2 linked regions of the Caenorhabditis elegans genome follow. The protein of the gene in region 1 interacts with the protein of each later gene in a pairwise test. Each region holds a gene or a part of one and is shown on either strand. Other genes may lie near its edges.

The links.
Region 2: the proteins of F53H1.4 (region 1) and nhr-66 interact in a two-hybrid assay, tested with the Caenorhabditis elegans proteins (one large-scale study listed by BioGRID).

What each region holds. Positions count from the first base shown.
Region 1 is NC_003282.8:1,308,258-1,313,334, forward strand, and holds the start of F53H1.4 (PHD-type domain-containing protein), read left to right. Parts: upstream 1-1,908; 5' UTR 1,909-1,966; coding exon 1,967-2,037; intron 2,038-2,340; coding exon 2,341-2,402; intron 2,403-2,484; coding exon 2,485-2,541; intron 2,542-2,639; coding exon 2,640-2,820; intron 2,821-3,869; coding exon 3,870-4,143; intron 4,144-4,763; coding exon 4,764-5,077. Other genes in the region: ddx-46 (RNA helicase), read right to left, coding at 1-205, 1,132-1,387.
Region 2 is NC_003282.8:8,233,543-8,238,485, reverse strand, and holds the start of nhr-66 (Nuclear hormone receptor family member nhr-66), read left to right. Parts: upstream 1-1,903; 5' UTR 1,904-1,908; coding exon 1,909-1,977; intron 1,978-2,282; coding exon 2,283-2,451; intron 2,452-2,576; coding exon 2,577-2,661; intron 2,662-3,471; exon of another isoform or gene 3,472-4,943. UniProt on the Caenorhabditis elegans protein: Transcription factor. Binds to regulatory elements and regulates transcription of target genes, including the potassium channel accessory subunit mps-2. Negatively regulates transcription of mps-2, thereby modulating age-dependent memory decline.

The sequences.
Region 1 (5,077 bases):
CCCTCATTTTTGATATCAAATTCGTCTTCATCATCCTCATCCTCCAGATTCCAGGGCTTTTTCTCAGATTTTTCATCAGATTGCTCAGATTGTAGATCAAGCTCTTCCTTCTTCTTTTGGGCTCTCCACTTCTCCACATTACGACGCCTACGCTCGACTCCCTGTAGTAATTCGGCTTCTTTCATTTTCATAACTTCTTCGGTGTCTGCAAATTGATAAAATTAAGGGGTTTTTTTGCAAAAAATTGAGAATTTGGGCTTTTTCACACTTTTATGGGTAAAAGCCGGCTGGAAATTCAATTTTTTGGGTGAAATTTGAGAAAACTCACTAAAATGTTAGGTTTTTTCGTAACAAAAAGTTGAAAATTGGCCTATTTCTTGCGAAAAAAACATAAAATTCACACTTTTCTGGGTGAAAATCGTCTAGAAATTCAGTTTTTTAGGTGGAAATTGAAAAAAAATCGCTTAAATTTTTATGTTTTCTTGGGAAAAAGGTAAGAACTCTATGGATTTTGCATGAAAAGTTCATAAAATTCACATTATTTTTTGCAAAAACCATACAAATCAGTGGAAAATTGGAAAAATCGCTTAAAAATGCATTTTTCTGGGTGAAAATTAGAGTTTTTTTTTCGCAAAAAATTGAGAATTCTATGGATTTTGCATGAAAAATTCGAAAATTTCGCACTTTTCTTGGTGAAAAATCGCCTAAACTTCAATTTTTCAACCAAAAACCTTTAAATTTGAACAATTTTCGGCTCTTTCTGTTGACAAATTTGAATTTCAACGGTATAAGGCGAAAATTGAATCAAAAATTCAATTTTTCTATCCAAAAATTGTCCGAATTTCGCTTTTTTTCTCCGGAAAAATTAGAAATTGCATGAAAATAGCAAAAATAAAAACGGCAAAAATAGCTGAATTTTGATGCTTTTGGCATGAAAATCGGCTAATTTTTGCGATTTTCAGTTTAAAAAGTTTTTTTTTTTTACCTTAAAATCCTATTTTTAGGCTGAATTTCGTTCAAATTTCCCAGTTTTAACTCAAAAATTCGAAAATTGGGATTTTTCCAGGCAAAAATTTGCTTTTTTTGGCTTTTTATCGATTTTTTTTGCCAATTTTTTTTGCAATTCCTTACCATTCCGTGACTCTTCCATTTCAAAAATCGCCGTTTTACTCTCTTTTTCCTTCTTTTTCTCTGCATCTCTCTGCTTTTCACGATCTCTCGTCTTCTCCCGATCAGTGTCTCGTTCTCTGCGTCTCTCCCGATCCCGATCTCTGTCTCGATGTTCCCGGTGCTCACGACTGCCACGTGGCGAGCGGCTCCGGCTTCTTTTTCGTTCCTTTGAACGGGAACGCTTTCGTTTGTGCTCTTTGTGCTCGCCGCGACCCATCGAAAACTGGAAAAAATTGGGGATTTTTGGATTAAAATTGGGAAAAATACGATTAAAGTGTGCGAAAACAATGAAAAATCACTGGAAATTCGTTAAAACCTTCGGATTTTTATAAAAGAACAATTTTAATCATTTTTAATTTCAAAAAGTGTTTTAAAATCCAGAAAATCTGATTTTCTGCCTATTTTCTGGCCGATTTATCGTTTTATGTAAGTAATTTGACTTCAATCTTCACTTTTTCACTTAAAAAACTTCGAAAAAAGCGAAAAATCTATGGAAAATAAAATAAAAACCGAAAAAAAAAAAGAATTTCGAAAATAAAAATTTTCCGCACTACGACACTCCGAAATCCCGCCGCGCGTGTTGTTTAGCGCTTTTAAAAATTGGCGCGAACGCGCAGGTGTTCAAACACTGTCCGTCGATTTTTCTCGCATTCCTCACAATTCTGTCGCTTTATAGCCGGCTTTCGCGCAAATTTTTGTGTAAATTACGTTAAAGTCACTTAAATTCAAGTTTTCCAGTGCGAAAAACTAACAAACTACTTGTTGCAACTCGGAAATTCAAAAAGTTGATTCGCAAATGAGCCAGCGATCATTTGGAAGTGAAATTGGAAATATGACGGCTGCTACGAATTCGAATGATATTGCGGAGTAAGTTTAAACGTGAATTTAAATTTAAAATGTTTTAAATAAAAAAATAAATTTTTTTTTAACTTATTTCTCGATTCTCCAAAATTTTGAGAGTTCTTTTTATTGTTTCTGGTGTAAAATTCAACGTTCTCTTCATTTTTCACATTGAAAACCCGTGAAAATCACTAAAAACCACTGGAAATTCATGAAAATCCAATAAAAACCAATGGGTGTGCAAGCGCGCCCCATTGCGAATATTTGAATTGTTTTTCGTTTTCGACTTTTTTTCTCCGAATTTCGAGCCAAATTTCTCTCTTTTTCCAGCGTTTCGCTCGCCACACCACTAAAATCGACGGAACAAATGGAAAAGTCGGAAAATGGGACAGGTTAGTGCCGAAAAATCGTGAATTTCCACCCGATTTTCACCTAGAAACCCGAAATTCCACAAAATAATGTTTCTTTTTTCAGCCGTCTCCCGCCTCCCAAAGCCACTCGCCATTGAAGTTTACTCGAAAGTTCACAATAGTGAGTGAAAAACCCAGAAATTGTGGATTTTTCATCAAAAATCTCCAAATTTTCGCTAGAAAACTAGATTTTTCGCGGAAAAATCCCCCAATTTTCAGGCAATTTATCAGAAGATGACCTTCTCGACGAAATTGAAGACCTAATTGATGAGAAATTCTTTGCCGGAGAGAAATTAATGAGCTCTGGCAAAGAATATACAGTGGTTTCCAGTGAAAAACGCGGTGGGCTCACACTTTACACAATGGAGGACGGCACCAAAATTGGACATCGCGATTTGAGGTGAAAATTGATGGAATTGCATGGTTTTCGGTGGAAAAATGTGGCGAAAAACCGTTGAATTTCGCTTATAAATCGGAGTTTTAGGCCAAAAATGACTAAAATCGTTAAATTTTCAGATTTTTCATGCAACAAATTTGAAAATTCCGCATTTTTTCTTCATTTTTCACCCAAAAAAAAAACCACTAAAGTTACAGGTTTTCATGAAAAATTGCTTATTTTAACCGAAAAATAACAAAAAATTGATTTTTTAATTCATTTCCCACGATTTTTACTTCAAAATTATCATTTTTAGGTCATTTTTTGAATTGAAAAACGGATTTTTAGATCTTTCCTGAGCAAAAATGGGGTTTTTTTCATTGAAAAATCGAGAATATCCCAATTTTTTAACCGGTAAATACGCTGAAATCGTGTTTTTCAGCCAATTTTAGACCTTTTTAAGTGAAATATAAAGTAAATCCACAAAATAGCTGCAAAAATGCGTAATTTTCAACATTTTTGCATGAAAAATCCAAAAATTTTCATGTTTTTTGATTAAAAACTCATAAAATTCGAGATTTTTGGACGGAAAATGCTTTAAAATATAATAATTTCACATAAAAAATGCTGAAATTTTTCATTTTTGCTATAAAAAATTTGAAAAATGTCAATTTTCAGCCAAAAAAGGGTCTCTCAGTGGGCGAAATTACGAAAAATGGCCATTTTTGCACTAAAAATCCCAGAAAATTCATTAAAATTTCCTCGAAAACCCGAAATTTCCAGTGAAAATTTATGGAAAATTAGTTTTTTCGTTCAAAAATTCGATTTTCCAGACAAAATGTCCACAAAAATTTGATTTTGCGGTGAAAAGTGTAAAAAACTGCAATTTTTTTTTTCAAAAATCCGTTTAAAAAGAGTCTGAAAAAGTTCAAAGATGTAATTTTGGATGAAAATTGTGTGAAATTTCACAATTTGGCGCTTAAATTGTCTCAAAAATAAGTGGAAATTACACTTTTTATGAAGAAAAATCCAAAATTTTAGAGAAAAAACCCTAATTTTCCCTCAATTTTCAGACGAAAAAAGGGTCTATCAGTGGAAGAAATCAAGAAAATCGCCATTGAAGATGCTGAATTTGTGGATGAAAAGCAGTGGAAAGTCCGGGAAGAACTGCTCGCCGAGAATCCGATTCGTGAAATTAAAAAATATGCTCCAATATTCTCAGCAAATCGGAAATCTACGCCGAAAACTGCTCAGCTCAGTGTGGCGGCAGAAGCCGATGATTCAGATGTACAAGAGGTGTCAATGGATGCTGAAAGTGGAGCAGAAGCTGCAAATAAAAGTGCTATGGTACGGGAAAATTTCGATTTTTAGCTGGAAAATTGAGAGAAAAATCTGATTTTTCGGAGAGGAAAAGTAAAGAAAAATCAGGATGTTAGCTGAAAATTGAAAAAAAAAGTAGATTTTCAGCTGAAAAATTGACAGAAACGCTATTTTTGTAGTCAAAGCTCGATTTTTCGTAGTAAAAATACAGAAAAATTAGGATTTTTCCTAAAAAATTGAATAAAACAGTGAAAAAATCGTGATTTTGACAGAGATCAACTAAATTCCGATGATTTTTAGCTTTAAAATTGACAAAATTTGTGAGAAATTAGATTTTTCGACTGAGAAATTGAGAAAAACGCCATTTTTCATAGTAAAAAATGAGGAAAAATGGGATTTTTATTTGTAAATTTCTGAAAAAACGAGAAAAATTGGATACATTTTGTGAAAAATCGAGAAAAAAACCACATTTTACAGTGAAAAATTGACTAAAATCTCGCAAAAATCGCCAAAATTGTGCCAATTTTCACCAAAAACTGTTAGAAAATATAATTTTTTAATGTAAAAATTGACAAAAATCATGCGAAATTTCCAATTTTCTGAGAACTTTCTGTTGAAACTTGTGAAAAAACCGAAAATTTTTGCAGAAAACTCCACGTGGAGCTCCGCGAGCATCTGGAGGCCCTGTGATCCTCTCGAGCCGCCGTTTACAAGAAAAACAGAAGGAAAAAGATGAAAAAGAGAAGGAAAAACTGGAGAAAAAGCAGAAAGAACAGGAAGAGAAGAAGCAGAAAAAAGAAGAGGAAAAGGCGAAAAAACTGAAAGAAAAAGAGGAAAAATTGAAGGAAAAAGAGGAAAAAGCGGCACGAAAAGCTGAGAAAAAGGAGAAAAATAATGGAACTATGGACAAATTTTTGAAAAAAGACACGGGCTCACCGAGCAGCAAAAATGCACCGTTATT
Region 2 (4,943 bases), 6.9 Mb from region 1:
TTATACAGTATGATGCCTCTTTTTTCGAATATTGTAGGAAATTTTGTTGGATACTTGAATTGATTTTTAATAGAAAGTTTTCAATTGTTCATGTTCAAATCAATTATAAACAAAAGGCTTGGACCAAAGATAACTACTTCCTATGTTTTAAATTGAAACCAATAATCAAAATGAAGGCGATAATTGATTTTTTATTTTTATTTTCCGGATTTCGAGCGAGACTCAACTCTCAAACTCAAACTCGCGTCATTAAGATAAACGAGCATCTACACTTTTGGTTGCAAAAACTGCAAAAAAATTTTTTTTTAAACTATTTCCCAATTGATAATGCTTTCAAGTACATTTAAATGAACGTCTTCAAATATCAGCAAGCAAATTACAGTAACATTTCAATTCATGTTTATTTAGTTATACCAGAAAAAGTGCACCTGCCATTTACGCACTGTTTTATGGATTGAATCCATGACTTCTAGGCAGGTAGGCATGAAGTCCGAAATCTTGCTGCTGACTTGAATGAATCCCTAAACGAAAGCTGTCAAATACTTGAAAGAACACATTTGTATTCTTTTTTAATGTGCTTCTCGGAAAATTTTGATTTTTAAATGTTTTCTGCTACACTACGAAAATTTTCATAATATTCGCTAAATTTGCACGTGTTCAGTGAGCCTAACAACGCGACATGTCTACAAATATCTAGACACGAATGTATTTCTAACATTTGAATTTTTCAACTTCTTATGAGAGAAAGTCTTATGAGAAAAATCAAACGATGAACAGCTGAAGCATAACAGAAAATAAAAACATTTTTTCATTTCGACTATAGTTATAATTATTTACCCACAATGCCTGATTTCTCGAATTTTCATATTTTTTGTTCTTCTCTAAAATCTCTAACAATAGCCAAAATGTAGTCTGTTTTAAAGTTATTATGCGAGAAGCTGTGCACATATCCCATCTCGAGCCCCTTTTGTATGCACACTGCTGAGCATCAGAACGGACGGTATGCTGCACATCCCTCGTGACTGCGTATAATATCCACCCGATTTTTGTGTGATTAGCTGCAGAATATCGTATATCGAGGCGCGTTTTCCATTTGTGGCGATAATGCACATTTTTACTGTTGAATTCTCTTTTGAGGCTCCATAAACCACAAATAATGCGACGATCGTGTATTACAAATGTTCGACAACTGTGATTTCTCTGATTTCATCTTACTGTAGAAATAATTTCAAACTTCGCGCACAAATGGATTTCACCAGAGCGCACTTGCTGTATTCTTCGGTAGCAAATTTTTTCCAGCGAAAAGCATTTCGAAAAGCCTGTAAGCTTTCGTGAAATGAGATAATTTTTCGTGAAAAACGTTTCTACAATTTTTATCAATTTATTTATTTCAACATCTTCAAAAACATGTTACGTTCTTAAAAAAATACCTTTTAAAATTTACTATTAGCGAAAAATTGCTGAAAATTTTTGTTTTCTAAGATTATTTTTGTCCCGATGGTGTCGTCGTCACAACATCTCATACATATATACAGATAAAGAATAAAAGCGAATCCATTAGATTGGCGCATTTGATTTCTCGTTCAATCCGTCCTTTTTCTGCTGATCTTTCACGTGTCTCCTGCCGGCGGCCCCGCCCATTTTCTCATACTTTCAATTTTCAAGGTCCTTTTGTCAGTTCAGTATTCTAATTTTCCTCGTTCCTCGATGGCCTTCCGGTTACCTTGCTCTTGTTACAAAGCTCTCGCGAGCAAACTTCAGCCCGCCTCTTTTTTGAGAACTCGACTTGTGCTCGCCTGCTCTCTGTTGAGCTCAATTTATTCATTATTCTGATCGCAATTTTGTTTCGAATTAATAAAATTAGAAACGTCAACTATTTTCAGATTTCTTTCAGACATCTTCTATGGAATGCCGCCAATCAATGAGCCCACAGCGACGACAACATCAGCATCGTCGGTGTGGCAAGGAATGACACAGGTTTGCATAAAAATTGAATTTTATAAAGTTTAATATCAAATTTCCTATTAATATTAAATAGAATTCTATAAAATTTTATGCTTACAATAAAAAAATTGATTTTTTAAATTGTATCGTAGTCTCTGGCACAACGCAGGTAAATCGTTGCGAGACCAAGCCTTCCTTTGAACCATTTTCTTCAACAAATTGTTTCTTTTTTGTGGTTCCCTGCGCGCACAAATTGTATTTTTTTTAGTCGAAAAACTTGTTTCTTTGAAGAATTCATGAAATTTAATAATTAATTCAATAAAATATTTTATTTTCAGTTAAAATCTCAAGTCGACTTGATCAATATCGCTCGAGGAATTCTCTCAACCCCCGCAACAACATCAACATCATGTCTTGACATCCAGAATTCGACACCGATCATCGGTTCGTTGGCCTCCGGGAAATCCCAGACGCCAATTCTCACAGCGACAATGACTCCACAAATCGGTACGGTAGATTGTTATTGTCAATCAAGAAAAATGGGGGAGAAATGCGCGGGAGAAATTGAGTCGTAGTTCGCGTAAACAATTGTTGTTTTCTCTGAAATATTAATCAATCATGCTCGTTTTAAGGACTCACTGGGCTTGGTTCGTTGACATCGTTGCCTCCAGAACTTCTACTACAGTTCGCTAGACTGGACGGATTCAACTTATTACCGTGAGTTTTTTTTTCTTTTGAAAATTCAAAATTTTGCCGAAAATAGGCAGTTTTTTGTATGGAAAAAAAATTGCAATTGGAATTCAAAAAGAAATAATCAAAAAGTTGAACCTTCCGAATTAAATTTGAATTTTGATCTTTCATTATTATCTTCGCTCAAAGTCTTGTGCTTTGATCCATATCTTTCCTCCTGCTCTGTGACTTTGTACTTTTCATCTGTCTGATTTCTGCTTGACAACGCTGGAGTGTCTGATAAATCTAATCAAGCTGAGCAGCGCTATTTTCTTAAAAAATGTGATGTTACATACAGAAGAGACATAGAGTACATTGCTAATTCATAAGTTTAGAATAAAGAAACTCAAAATCAAAGAACAAAGTCAAATAATCCTTCATAATTTTAGTTGGTTGCCCTTGTCATTGGGAGCAGACTTCTCATATATATATATAAATGTGCATGCGCGACAACGGAAATGCAAGTAAAAGAGCATTGAAACAAAGATCCGTTGTATGTTGCATGACACATGAGTAGTGGAGAGTGTGGGAGAAAGGTGCAGAGTACAGCTGACTGGCATGCTCCTGTCGTTGAAATGTGTAGAAATGAAGGGATTTCTGTGCTGCAACGTTCCAGAGATACTTGTTGTAAGAAAGCTTCATTGTAATCATCTTTTCTCGACTAGACTGAAGTTTATATGTGCACCTGAAGCAGCTCTATTTTACAATTTGCAACTCACTTTTCTATGATTTCTAAATTAGTCGATGTGATTTTTCAATTATAAGATCAACGGGAACAAGTGGTGCAACATTATATTCAAGTTTTAACGGATTTATATAGCAACTTAATCAAGCTATTATATAAAAAGTCGAACACCAAATTGTTAGGTCTTCCGTCCATCGTTTAAAGCCCGAAGTCCTTCATCCATCCCCAATTGTCCGTTCCGCCTGACCATCGAAACAGCTTTGCAGCGCTCAATGACAGCAGATGCGCTTCAAAACAAACCGATAATAGGAGGAAAATTGAAGGGGTCAGAAATAACCCGCCTTGGTAGATCGGCTCCGTTTATAATTCCTTCCAAGCTAGCCGGCTCTCCGTTATTACTTCTTTGCCTCTTCCGTATATCCGAAACAGGTGGAAACTCTCGTCTCATTACCAACTCGTCGACTTTCTCTTTACTAAAGCTTTCCTCCTCTGACCCATCTTGTGCTTAACTGCATAATTTGAAATTCCCAGACTGCATGAGAACTTTTGCGTTGATGAGTCTCGTCTCTTTTTCTGCAAGGAAAAAAACCACAGAGAACCACACACAACGAGAAAGTTCAAAGGCTCAATGTATCATTTTACGTATTTCTCCTTTCTTTTCTTTCGCTAGCGCACACTTCAACATCCAAAAGCGCCACGTGTTTGTGTTTCGGGAAAACAGAAAACTGTGTGCTATAGCAAACTCAATACCCCATCACCGGAAACTTTCCGGTTTATCATCGCTTTTTGCGGTTTTTCTTTCGTGCGCCTGCCTGCTTGCAAAATACCACAAACTCATGTGTTATCGGTGTTGGCCTACAACATTTTCTATCATCATTTCGATGTTTATATAAAGATTTTTTCAAAAAGAAATGCATAGATCAGGATCGTGTTGATTCCAAAATGGAACTAGCAGGCTTTTGTCGTACTTTAGAACCTGGCTTATTGCCAAAATATTTCTATTCAAGTTGACAGCCGTTTGCTTTCGATTATTGTTCCGATGATCCCCATTTCGCCCTATTAAATGTTCAACATCTATTTGACAAACTCTAAAGACTACAAACTACGGGCATCTAGAATAAAGACGTTATCACTTGTTCTATTGTCCAGAAACTGTCATGTGAATATCTTATAAATCTCGTTGATCTTCAGTGGAAAAGCTGAATGAGACTAGTGTGTTAGAATATTGAAGTGATCTACATTAGATTGTTAAAATCTGCTGAAAGCCTACAATTACACATTTCAAAGCAGTTGAAATTAATTTCGCCAGTTTTATTTTGAATGGTGTTCATCGTGTAATCATTCGGATCGTTAGATCAAAACGATCAATTTCAGCGAATAGTCATGATAAAATGGTGACTTAGAGTTATCAGTTTGTGTTTATACTATAAACAACCGTTTGTGCATACGCAAAAATCGACTTTCGACTGTTTTAACTTCTTGTACAAAGATCGGGTTCACGAGGTGGCCAACCGTTTGTATTTTTTCGTAGAAATGACCTACAAACTAATAAGTATTCACGGACTCTTCTTCACTCCTGTGCGTA